3 linked regions of the Cricetulus griseus genome follow. The protein of the gene in region 1 purifies or fractionates together with the protein of each later gene. This does not show direct contact. Links are inferred from orthologs where the notes say so. Each region holds a gene or a part of one and is shown on either strand. Other genes may lie near its edges.

Region 1 (4,175 bases):
TTAAACTGGTTTCCTCTAGTCCATTTTGGTGCACCTGCACAGAACTGGTTTGGACTTCCAAAGCACTTAGGAATTCTGTTTATTTGGTGGAATGTCACATGGGCAGGAAACCAAAACCATTTTTTCCCTCTCCTCAAGAGATCAGGGAAGCTCACTCTTGAGAAAAACAACGGCTAATACTGTATTTCAGGAGATGGCTCAGTCATTAAAGTGCTTGCTTTGCAAGCATGAAAATCCAGGTTTGGCTCCCCAGCATGCATTCAAAAGTCAAGTATGTTGGTGCTCCTTTATCCTCATTGCTCAGGGGCAAATGGAGACAGAAGGATGCCTGGGGCTTGCTGAATCAGTGAGCTAACCTACCTTTAAAAAAAAGGAGTGGGGGAGAATGGAGGAAGACACTTCTGGGAGGCACACACATGCAAATAAAAATGACAACAAGTGAATGGCTGAGCCAACTGTGGTGTTATCCATACCACAGAATAATGATTAGCAATGAAAAGGAACAAACTATTTAAGAACCTATATTTATGCTTGTTATATAAACCTATCAATAGCTATTGTGGATCACAAAATGGTAAAATTGTAAATATGAATACAAAAACCAGTATGATTTTTCTGGGCAGTGCAAGATATTTTTTGTAAGAAGTTATCAAATAGGCCAACCTTTCTATTTTGTTAAATTGCTATCATTACTTTAGCTTGCAGCTCTCATTAACAAATAAGATCATGTAATTTCAGAAAACGTGGGAGGGGAAAAATTCAGTCTGACAAATCACTAGAAGATAATCATTCCATCTTTTTCCTTTTAACTTTCAAGTTCAGAAGACTAGATCTAAAGCCTCAAGCATTCATGGAGGTAAGAACCATATTCCCAGTCCTCAGCAGATTTTAAAAAGTAAATTCTTCAATTACATTGCTTAGAACTAAGATTTAACTAAAAACATGAAACCATATAAGAAAATGTATAAAAGTCAAATGTGTAATTTAAAACAAGGAACTTTCTAAGTTTGCAGAATAAATAAATGAGTTTAGCCACAAACTGAAAAACATTCCTTTCCTAAAGCTCATTGTTTGATATCAAAACAGTGGCTACTACAGTGCATATAAAATGGGAGTACAAAGGGTTGGGCAACTCTACGGCAAAAGAATTCCTGTATTTTCACAATATATTATACACCCAAATCAGAAGAGGTCACTTCATTTTTTTTTTTTTGCAAATGCAAAAGCTAATTAAAAACACACTCCACAAATTTAAACTGGCCAAGGAATTGACTGGGAGGGACAATTATGTAGGATTTAAAGAAAAAAAAAATGCCCAAAAGGGGAAGGATGCCACAGACATCACAGAAAATACCAAGTCAGTAATATCTAGGCTTAACCTTCCTGCTTTTAAATTATAGCCAAATGAATTTGGATTAATTATATTTTCAGCTTGATCAATTTCGGAAGAATTACTTCCCTTTCGGGAAAACCTCGTCACTTTCCCATAAGCTAGCCTAGGTCTCCAGCCCAACCAGGCAACACCATCTTTCATTGCCTTCTCATTCAACTGTCGCATTACCAAACACCCTGTTCTGAAGACAGTACCACGGCCTTCTCTCCGAAAAGAAAAGGCTGTAAGCCCTGCTCTTGCCCTTCCAGTCTCATCCGGAGCAAGTGAACACTCATTGAACCTCTCTGCAGGGATGTCCGATAAGACCCTTAGAATCACCGAGAATGCACATTCGTAGGGCAGTTCTTCAGTGACTCTGCAGTGAGGGCCGTATCAGTGACATTCCCTCCCAAGCCCGTCTCACCGGAGACGCCTCTGCCTCCAGGGGGTTCTCCTATCTTCCTGCTCATCCGGACGAAGGCCTTTGCCAGGGGAAGGAGCTCTGGGGAATGGGACCTGGAGGTGGTTGCAAACCCGGAGTAATGGCTAAAGCAATCCTACCACCTGAAGCCCCAACGACTCCAAATAGGGAACCGTAATGGCCGCACTCGCTCTCAACCCAGGCAAAGGTGGGCATCTTAATCCCTCGCCAGTGGACTTCGGGGACGAGCCAGGGGTCCAGAATGTAGATCTGGAGAAAAGAGCTACCAACCAGCCAGTGCAGGATGACAACGGGGAAGGAGCCCCAGCACCGCAGGCCGCCGCTCGCACTCCCCAGTCCCCATCTCCTCTCTCCCCGTCAATCGTCCCCACCAGTCGCCGGTTACCTGTCGCACCTGACCCGCCGGGGCGCGAAGAGCAGAATCAGTACCTACACGGGACCCAGAGGCTCTGTCACTGAGGGAGGGGAAGACTTCAGCTGCAAGGGGCGGGTCGTCCTGGTCATGTGACCTCAAGCTCCACCCTGCTTCTCCTCCCCAGCCACGCCGCCTCTCGCCAGTCTTGAATCCTAGCAGGTCGCTTGGATGTGAATGGTTGCGTGGCTAATGAACGAGTTAGGTCCTTTTTTCGCTATGACTGGGTTATAAACTGCAGCACAGAAAACGAGGACGGCAAGGGTTAAAGTGCATTGCTAAGGAAGTGACGTTAAGTCACGCTCTAGGGGCCGGAAGTGGCGATGGAGTCCCGCCTCTCTCAGTCCCGAGTTAAAATCCTGGCTGGAAAGCTTCAGCCTATCACGTGATTAAAAAAAAAAAACAAAACCGTGGTTTGCCTGCTGGAAGATAGCCAAGTTATCCGGGCCCCTCGTTACCTTTTGGTTTTTAAAACACATTTACTGCAGGTCTCCACAGGCTTCTCCTACATCGAGAAGAACCCGTTTTATAAAAGCCTATCGGGCGACAAGAGCGTTTGAAGGTCACTGGAGAGGGGCGCGGGAAAGACCGATCTTGCAGATCTGAGAGCAGTGAGGGAAGGGCGGAAGGATCCGGATTTTACCGCCGGAGCCTACCGGGCAAGCTCGGCGGGAGTGTCGCAAAGGGTGGGCGGAGCTAGCCCCCCGGAGGCCCAGCCCAGGGCAAAGGGGGGGAAGTCCTGGGGGGGAGGGGCGCGCGGCACGGAGCACTGCGGCTGCGCGCGACGCGGCGGCCGCGCCGGCGCGCTGAGGGGGCGGGGTGAAAGGTCACAGCGCGGCGGCGGGTCTGGCTGGCGGCAGCTGCGGGCGGGAGCGGAGTGTCCCGTGTGCACGTGTGGAGGAGCGGCGGCGGCGGCGGCAGCAGCGCGGCGGCGACAGATCTTCCCGCGTCTCCCCGGAGCTTCGGGGCCCGGCTCGGCTTTCGTGGCCTCCTTGGCCCCTCGGCGCCCTTCCCTCAGCCAAGAGGCCGGCGTGTGGGGTTGAGTGGCCTGAGCTCAGGGCGCGGAGAGCTCCCGGCGGCGAGGACGACGGCGTTGGTCGCGGCTGTAACGACGGCCTCAGCAGGCGGGGAAGATGAAAGGGTGAGGAAGGAAGGAAGGGAGGGAGGGAGGGAGGGCAGCCGGCGGGGGCCCGGCGGGCAGGGGAGAGGGGCGTGGGCCGGTGGACCCGGAGAGCGCCGCGAGGAGAGACTCGCGCCAAGACCGGGCCTCCGGAGGGACCTTGCCAGGCTCCTCGGTCACCCCACTCCGGGAGGGGGGCGGAGGCTAGGCCGGCTGTTGGCGGGCTGAAGGGCCTGCGGAGGCAGGGGCGCGAGTCCACGAATCCAGCCCAGAGAACGAGTGTGCACCGAGTGGGACAGCCGGGAGGAGGTATGGTAGGCGCCCGGGGCCTTTTCCCGGGAGCGCACGGCCGAGCCGCCTCAGGTGCTCATCGGTCTCCAGGATCCACGCTGTGGCTGCGAGCTTTGACACGTTTCTGGTTTCTTCCTACTTGTGGACTGTGCAGAACCTTCTGGAGGGAAAAGGAATTGGAATAAAGAGCATGGGGATGAGTGTTAGGAGCTAGTGACTCAACGAGATTTGGGTTGGGTCAGAGCGAGTGGAGGAGGGAGGGGGAACGAACTCAAGCCGCGTAGACTTTGGGGTGCCAAAATGTTTAAGGAAGTATCCGGGATCAGTAGGTGGAGCTATTGCTTCAAGAGAGTTTTGCCCCCTGAGTGCAAAGAGGAGTGTTTTGGCTGCTCGTTCGAAAAGTTGAGGTTTGGTCTTTGAAATCTTGGGTAGCATTAGACGTTATTTTTGTTTAACTGTTCCCGTTTGGGAAAAAGTATTTCCCTTCCATGGATTTATAAACTGTTACAGTATTAACACCGCGCTAACACATTGCTTA
Region 2 (4,315 bases), on another chromosome or scaffold:
ATTCTTTGGCAGCTTTTCCGTATTTGCCAACCTAATGTCCTCCATCACTGCACCCATTTGGAGAGAATATTCTTTAATATCAACAATGACACTGTGTAACAGCACAGGGAGGAGGTAGTGGAGAGAGATGGTTGGGCTTTCTTTCCCTAACCAGCCTGGATCTCAACAGCAGAGCCCCAGCAGCTTAGCAGCCACTCAGTGAAAAGAAAGGGAGGGGCTGGAAACCAAGACTTCAAACTTAAATAGAGGATGGCAAACTGGGAGAGGCCTGGTAGTGAGAGGGGGTTGAGGGTTGGGGAGCCCTAGCGCAGGTCTTCGGCGGTGAACATGCCCTTGGCCCTGCGCAGGATGGAGTCCTTGGCCGCATCGTATGGATGCTCCTTGGATGGGATCTCCAGGACAGCCGGGATGGACCGCTGGTGGGCGTCAAGGGCATGCCGGACCATCTCTGCAATGTACTGGTTGATGAGAATGATGCCAATGTCATCCCTGTTCAGAAACTGCCTGTTGGGACAACAAAGGAGGAGAATGGCAGTGACTTGGGGGTACAAGGGTCTCTCTCAACTATAGAATATAGAGAGATGGATGAAGAGCTCAGAAACACACTGACTGGGGTGCATGTCAGTGTGTTCTACATGCTGCCTCTGGGTAGGAAAAGGGAGGAGAAGGAAATAGGTATGAGGCTCTTTGTATCTGCATAAGAAGATTCTAGAAACATAAGACTCTTACTATTGATGAAGGTAGAGAAGGGAGAAATTTTAAAATATAGAGTTGAGGGGACCCCGAAGGCCTCAAGGTCTGTGCTGATGAGGCCAGGACAACATTTGCCAGAAGTCAAAGAAAAGATGGAAAGAGGAAACTCAGCAATGACGGAATCACAATTTCCAGACAGAAACTGTCATTATGGCCTTGTCATGTGATCACCCCCCACACACAGACAAGCACATTCAGCCATCTGCTCATTAAAAATAATTTACTGAAAAACCAAAAAAACCCCAAAAAACAGAGAGAGAGAGAGAGAGAGAGAGAGAGAGAGAGAGAGAGAGAGAAAGAAAAGAAAGCAAGCCAGGCAGTAGAGGTACTCCTTTAATCCTAGCACCTCGGAGGCAGAGGCAGAGGCAGGCAGATCACTGAGTTTGAAGCCATCGTGGTCTACAGATTGAGTTCCAGGATAGGCCAAGGCTGCACAAACCCTGTCTCGAAAAAGAAAACAATAATAATTTACTGGGCACCTACTTTGTGTCAAGCATGGAATAGATCTGACTTGATCATTTTAGGATCCCTTCTTGCTGGAAACATGGAAACTTCTTAGAAGTAAAATCTGTCCTCCGGTGACAACGGAGGTCACTTTATCATGCTGCTTAGAGATCAGCTGATCAGTCTCTCCCAGGTCGGAGCCTGCCACAGCCCAGGCAGTGGGAACTAGCCTCAGCCAGCATGCCTTGACTGGGCAGTTTAGGGAAAACAGGTGAGGGCAGTTTATTCCTGAGACTTGGCACAGTAGCCTTGGAAAAGGAGTGAAGGCATAGGGTGTTGGCTCCCTCGATTCTAATCAACAGGGCACTTCCTGGCTTGGAAGACCTGCACCCACTATTTGAAACTATGATCTTTGACCTAGGGCACAAAGTGATGGCCTGAAGTGCAGGTCTTTGTGGAAGGCCATACTTTCCACGTGTTCTGCCCAAGGTGCTCAAGACAAATGGAAACTCCAAGGCAGACTGAAGGGCAGCTACAGAAACAAGAGTAGGCACCAGCATAAGAAAGCGTAAGACGGCTCAGTGGGTAAATGTGCCTGTTGGCTAGTTGAGTTTTTCTATCCTTGAAGCCCATGGAAAGAGAAATCTGATTCCACAAGGTTGTTTTCTGACCTCCATATGTACACAGTGACAAGCACTTACCCACAGTCACACATCACACAAACAGACTCGGTAATTAAAACATAAAAACAGACTAGTGGTGTGCTCGCCTTTAATCCCAGCACTCAGGAGGCAGAGGCAGGCGGATCTCTGCGTTCAGGGCCAGCCTGGTCTACAGAGAGAGTTCCAGGACTACACAGAGAAACTGTCTTAAACAAATAGAAGGGTCTGCTTCTTACAGCTGGTGTGTCTTTGGGCCTGTGCCTTAACCTATCGGCCCTTTATTTTTCTCACCAGTAATTGGGGATAAACACTACTTTACAGGACAGTTGTGAGCATCTAAGAAAAATGAAGCTGTGTGTACACCACACACACACACACACACACACACACACACAGCCCACTGTCCAGACCCACACTGGGTGTGGTTTGTTTAGGATATGACTCAAAACTAAGGTCCAGCGAATGCATTACAGGTGAGCGTCGGGGACCCCGGAAGAAACGCTGAGCCTGCTTCAGCCACCGACTGAAGCTCCTCCAGGAGGCCGGCAGAGGCAGAGGCGGATCACAGGCCCGGCTCTCCTCCTAACCTGACACACAATCATGTGACGGACCCGGAGCTCGTGGACCTGCCTTACGTGGGGCCCCTCTGAGCCCCAAAGGGGAACTTAGGCGGCGGAGGCCTCTGCTCCGGACGGGCTGACAGCTTCCAGTGCCATCCCGATCCCCATCGCCGCCTGACACCCGGTAAACAGGCCCTAATTCTCCCCGCGCTTGTAACAAGCAGAAGGACCCATTTAGGCCTCACCGGCTACCGTACCTGAAAGTGTCTTCGATCTCATTGACGGTGGTATCCTTCTCTACTACCAGGAAATTAGGGTGGCGGTTCTTGTTAAGCTCCCCTATGCCGCCCAGGAGGAAACCCGTCACCGTGTCCTCGTCTCCAATCACCGCGATCAGTTTACCCCGGCCCGCCATTCTGTCGGCAGAACGGAGCGCTCCCCCAGCACCTGAGATGTCCCGCCCCCGCGGCGGCCACGCCCTCAGTCATGCGCGGGGTCCCCGCCTCCTGGACATGCGCATTAGCAGGATCACGCCTCTGTCCGGCTGCGCCATAGAGGCCGGAACCATGGAACTACATCTCCCAGAAGGCTGAGCGGCACAAGCCTAACCCCCCCTCCGTGTCTCTCTCTCTCCTCTCTCTCCTCTCCCTCCCCTCCCTTCCTCCCTTCCTCCCTCCTCTCCCTCCCTTCCCTCCCTCCCTCCCTCCTCTCTCTCCTCTCCCTCCCTCCCTCTGTCTCTCTCTCTCTCTCCTCTCTCTCTCTCTGTCCTTTAGTCCTTCCTTCTTCTGGAAGCAACATTTTTTTTGAACCTAGAGTTATTGAAGACCGAGACCCCAGGGGGCATACTCTTTTTTGGGGGGTGGGGGTTGGGGGGTATGATGTTTTGTTTTTGGCTTTTTGAACAGACCAGTCTTAAATTTGCAGTGTAGGGAGAGGATGGCCTTGAATTCCTGATCCCGCAGCTACTTTCCACACAAAACAGAGTATGTGTATGGTTTGTTTGCTTAAAAACTTTTTTTCTGTTGTTACATTTGTTCTTTTGGAGGCTCGCAAGAGGGGCACGGAGGTGGGGGCATGTGTGTGAGGTCATAGTACACCCTGTGAGCATCTCTTCCACTAGGTGGGCCTTAGGGTCATCTAGTCAATTCGGTGTGTGGTTTGTTTTTGTTTTTTTTTTGTTTTTTCCTTCCTTCCTTCCTTCCTTCCTTCCTTCCTCTTATCTTTCCCTTCCTCCTTCCTTCCTTTTTCTCTTTCTCTTTCTTCCTTCTTTCCTTTCTTCCTCCCTCCTCCCTCCCTCTCTTTGTTTTCTTTTTCTTGATAGGGTTTCACTATTTTACCCTAACCTGGCCTCAAACCTTTGGTGATCCTACTGTCTCAGCCTCGAAAGTACTAGAATTTAAGGCTTGGCCACCATGCCACACCCCCTACCCTTTGTTTTGGTTTTATCAGGTAGTTTATCTTTTGTAACCTTTGCTGCCTGGACCTCAGAATCCAGGCTGGCCTTGAACTTGCAGTGAGTTATCCTATTGCCTCTCATCCTCCTGAATGCTGGGATTACAGGGATTCATTATTTCCTCCTGCCTGCTTCATTTGTTTGTTTTGCCCAGACAGTCCTCAAACTCTCCAACTCTTGCCTCAGTCTGGGATTACAGTACTGGGATTATAGACATGTGCTACTACAATTGTCGAAGAAAAGTTATTTCCTAGCTAGAAAGTCAAGGTCTATAGCAGTATCATGTATACATGCATGTTAACTACGACAATATATATATGTATATTATATATATATATATAATATATATAATAAAGAAATGGGCAAATTGTTGACACTGAGTAGTGCTGCAGAGCACCAAGGCCTTATGTTAGCTGCTAAATTTAGAGAACTATATAGAAGTA
Region 3 (3,623 bases), on another chromosome or scaffold:
AATGTAAAAAGGAACACATAGGATACACATCATGAAAAACTTTTCTCTATCAAAGAGACTTCCATTCATTCATGTTTCCATTCTTCTGAACATGAACACATATCACATTTACCTATAAAGTATGCCTTTGATTTTATCACCAATTCCAACAATCATCACTTCTTTCCCCGCTGCTGTAAGGTTTGCCACCTCATTCTTCATCTGCTTAGCCACTGATGAATGAATAGCACCACACAGTCCTCGATCTGAGGACACACCAATAAGAAGGTGTTTCTTCTTGTCCTCGGGTCCCTTAATTTCAGCCTTCTCATATAGAGCTGAAAAAAAAAAAAAAATAGAGTACAGAAATAAAATTTACAGTAAATGTAGTGGCAATCTCTAATTTCAAGTTGTTGAAGTTTTTCCACTATGCACTTTTTTTAGGTGGCACCTATGAGTATAATCAAGGGTTTTTGTGTGCTTATTCCATTTACAACTAGGAAGGACATCACAAAGGTTCCTAAGGATCAAATAGTGGCCAGTTTAAAAAAAAAAAAAAAATTGACCAAAATGCCTAGATACAACCAAAAGGGAAGATAGAACACAAAAATAATTGCTTAATTGGATACCAGACTTATACAATGTAAATTCCCAGCATACAGCTAAAAAAAAAGTAGCAAGTAAGCATTTACTTAACCTCTCATGTAATCTGTACATCAAGCTCTTATTTTATAGTAACTATTGATATTGAAGTTATGGGTGTGAATTTATATGTAGCATTACTTTACCAACTTTTCTGGTCTGTTTTTCCAAGAAGCAGTGGCAAAGAAGACATTAAGTGGGATTAAAGATACCTAGATCCCCAGGTGGTGTTGTTGCAAACCTTTATTCCTGGCAGAGGCAGGTGGCTCGCTTGTGAGTTCAAGACCAGCCTGGTCTACAAAAGCTAGTTCCAACTCAGGCTCCAAAGCTATACAGAGAAACCCTGTCTTGGAAGAGAGAGAGAGAGAGAGAGAGAGAGAGAGAGAGAGAGAGAGAGAGAGAGAGAGAGAGAGAAGGTATACACCCCTGTCTTCTATATACACACAGAACATATACATAAAACAGACCTGAATGGTAGAGTGGGGAGAAGAAAGTCCTAGAAGACAGCATAAACCTTGTTTGTACTAAAATCTTGGTCCAAAATTTGTAAGAATGCCTCAATTATTCAATCAATAGGCAGTCATAAGAGTCAACATGGATCCTGAGCAATCTCAAAGGAGTTAGATACAAAGTCATCAAGCAAACTGTAACTGGATCTTGTTGGGTCTGTCTCCTGACTGTCAAAATGTTCCTTTATGCGTAAATGTCCCTGAGACTGGAGAAAGACTGCTCTTGCCACATCAACAACTGAGGCACAGACTAGAGAAATGACTCAATGGTAAAGAGCACCCGCTGATCTTGCAGAAGCCCTGCGTTGGGTTCCCAGACCCCAATGCATTACAGTTACTTTTAACTCCAGTTTCAAGGAATTTGACACCCTCTTCTGGCCTCTATGGGCACTTTTACACAGACACATAATTAAAAATCTTAAAAGCAGAGCATTCTCCACACACATGCATTAATTAAAAACAGGTCTGCATCTTCAAGAGACCTTGGCTATATGTCAGTATCCTTTATAATATGGTTTTGATATCTTCATGGTGAACTTTCTACTTTGGCTCTTACCTTTGGAATATGCCACCCACCTCAAAAATATTTCTTTAAAATCTACAATGGGGGAATTCATTGTTCTCCTGCCCTTATGGGCAGCCCACTCCAGTCTCTGGAGAGTGTGCTTTGCTAAATAAACTGCTGTCTACATTTTCTGTGTCTCTTTATTGAAAGAGACATCACTGAGAATAAGATGGCTTGAGGAGGCCTACAGAACAGGTAGTCAGTGGAAACCCACATAAAGCCACTAAGGAATGTGCAATATTCCTTTACACTGTGTGAATATATGTGCCTGTGATTTGTTTAATAAAGAAGCTGACTGGCCAATAGCTGGACAGGATAAGGTTAGGGGGAAGGCCAAATAGAGAATGCTGGGAAGAAAGGCGGAGTCAGAGGAGTAGTAAGCTGACCCAGAGAGAAGCAAGATGGACATGCTGTACTGAGAAAAGGTACCAAGCCACATGGCAAAGCGTAGATAAAAATATGGGTTCGTTGAAAATGTAAGAGTTAGCTAATAACAAACCTGAGCTATTGGGCAGCATTTATGATTAGCATTAAGTCTCTGGTTACTTGGGAGCAGCTTGCAGGGCAGAAACTTCCACTTACAAAGGAAAGCAGCAACAGTGTGGGCAGAGGAGGTGAAGCAGGATTAGAACTGCATAAGGACTTGAGGGTCATTAACAACTGCATTCTAATTGTAAAGAAACTTGCAGGAGGGACAGAATGAAGCTATTCACAGGTAATTACTGCAGCTTAGGGTGAGAAAAACTAGAAAAGAAGCAAGGGCATCAGCTAGAAGGCTGTAAAAGACTGAGCAACAGGAACAAATCTTAACCTACTATATAATCTCCATCACTTTCAAACTTCTCATAGTAAGTTAAGAATTCTGCCAGGTGACAGTGATACACGCCTTTAATCCCAGCACTCAGAGACAGAGATAGGCAGATATCTGAGTGTGAGGCCAGCCTAACCTATAGAGTGAGTTCCAGGATAGCTAGGGATACACAAAGAACCCTGTCTTGAAAAACCAAGAAAAAAAAAAAGAAAAAAGGAAAAAAGAAAATTCTTTGAAATGGATTTCTTCAATCAAACATAGCACAGCATTGAAAGAATTTGGATTATCTAATTACAGTTAGGATGGGAAATTTCCTACCTCTTTTGCTTATCTCTAAGACAAATTAATAATCAAATCAGCATAAAATCATCTAAACACAAAATTTAAGTTGTAAAAATACCATGCCACTTTTCCCTGTAGGAAAAGAATTCAAGAAGAGATCATATAGTTACAACCAAGTTGCCCTGTCTGTTTTCCCTGTCCTAAAACTGCACACAAGGTTATTAGCAAGATGACACCATTTCCTAGCCCTTCAGATGGTAATGCAATAACCCAAGTGCATACATGAAAACGTGAATAAATGCTGAGTGTTCAGGACAGGCTTGGTTTCTGTTGATAAAACAGGGATTCAAACCAACTTGGAAAGGACAGGTATTATTTTATTTTACATTCCAGGTTAACAGTTTATCACCTCAGGGAGCCAAGAATTGAAACAGAAGCCTTGGAGGACTGTTGCTTGCTGGCTTTCTTTACTTATTTTATATACGGCTCAGGTCTTCCTGCTTCGGGATGGTATACACAGTGGGCTGGGTCTCTCTGCATCAATTAGCCATCAAGAAAACATGACCACAGGCCATTTTCATAGGGGCAATTCTTCAGTTGAGACTCCCTCTTCCCAGGTACATCTAGGCTTTTGAAAGTGGACCAAACCACCCAGCACTAGATTCACTATGAGCACACCATCTCTCGTGGCACACTCTTCCTAACTCACCCAAGGAGCCTGTTCCATACACACGAGCTGGCTTCAGCTCCCGCTCAGCCCGGGCATACTTCGCAGCTGCCACCATCTTCATAGACTTGGTAATTTTCTGGATGTTTTTGATAGACTTCAGTCTCC

Evidence for each region.
Region 2: the proteins of Atp6v1a (region 1) and Atp6v1f fractionate together in Homo sapiens (co-fractionation; 3 studies listed by BioGRID and IntAct, with this or other methods). This does not show direct contact. The link is inferred for Cricetulus griseus from reciprocal best matches to the Homo sapiens genes ATP6V1A and ATP6V1F.
Region 3: the proteins of Atp6v1a (region 1) and ATP synthase subunit gamma, mitochondrial fractionate together in Homo sapiens (co-fractionation; 3 studies listed by BioGRID). This does not show direct contact. The link is inferred for Cricetulus griseus from reciprocal best matches to the Homo sapiens genes ATP6V1A and ATP5F1C.

The regions. Positions count from the first base shown.
Region 1 is NC_048597.1:46,270,667-46,274,841, reverse strand, and holds the start of Atp6v1a (V-type proton ATPase catalytic subunit A), read right to left. Parts: upstream 2,890-4,175; 5' UTR 2,209-2,889; exon of another isoform or gene 2,200-2,208; intron 1-2,199. Other genes in the region: Naa50 (N-alpha-acetyltransferase 50), read left to right, coding at 3,360-3,367. UniProt on the Homo sapiens protein: Catalytic subunit of the V1 complex of vacuolar(H+)-ATPase (V-ATPase), a multisubunit enzyme composed of a peripheral complex (V1) that hydrolyzes ATP and a membrane integral complex (V0) that translocates protons.
Region 2 is NW_023276806.1:198,350,264-198,354,578, forward strand, and holds Atp6v1f (V-type proton ATPase subunit F), read right to left. Parts: upstream 2,908-4,315; 5' UTR 2,835-2,907; coding exon 2,677-2,834; intron 505-2,676; coding exon 303-504; 3' UTR 57-302; downstream 1-56. UniProt on the Homo sapiens protein: Subunit of the V1 complex of vacuolar(H+)-ATPase (V-ATPase), a multisubunit enzyme composed of a peripheral complex (V1) that hydrolyzes ATP and a membrane integral complex (V0) that translocates protons.
Region 3 is NC_048596.1:226,990,637-226,994,259, forward strand, and holds part of ATP synthase subunit gamma, mitochondrial, read right to left. Parts: coding exon 3,498-3,623; intron 318-3,497; coding exon 113-317; intron 1-112.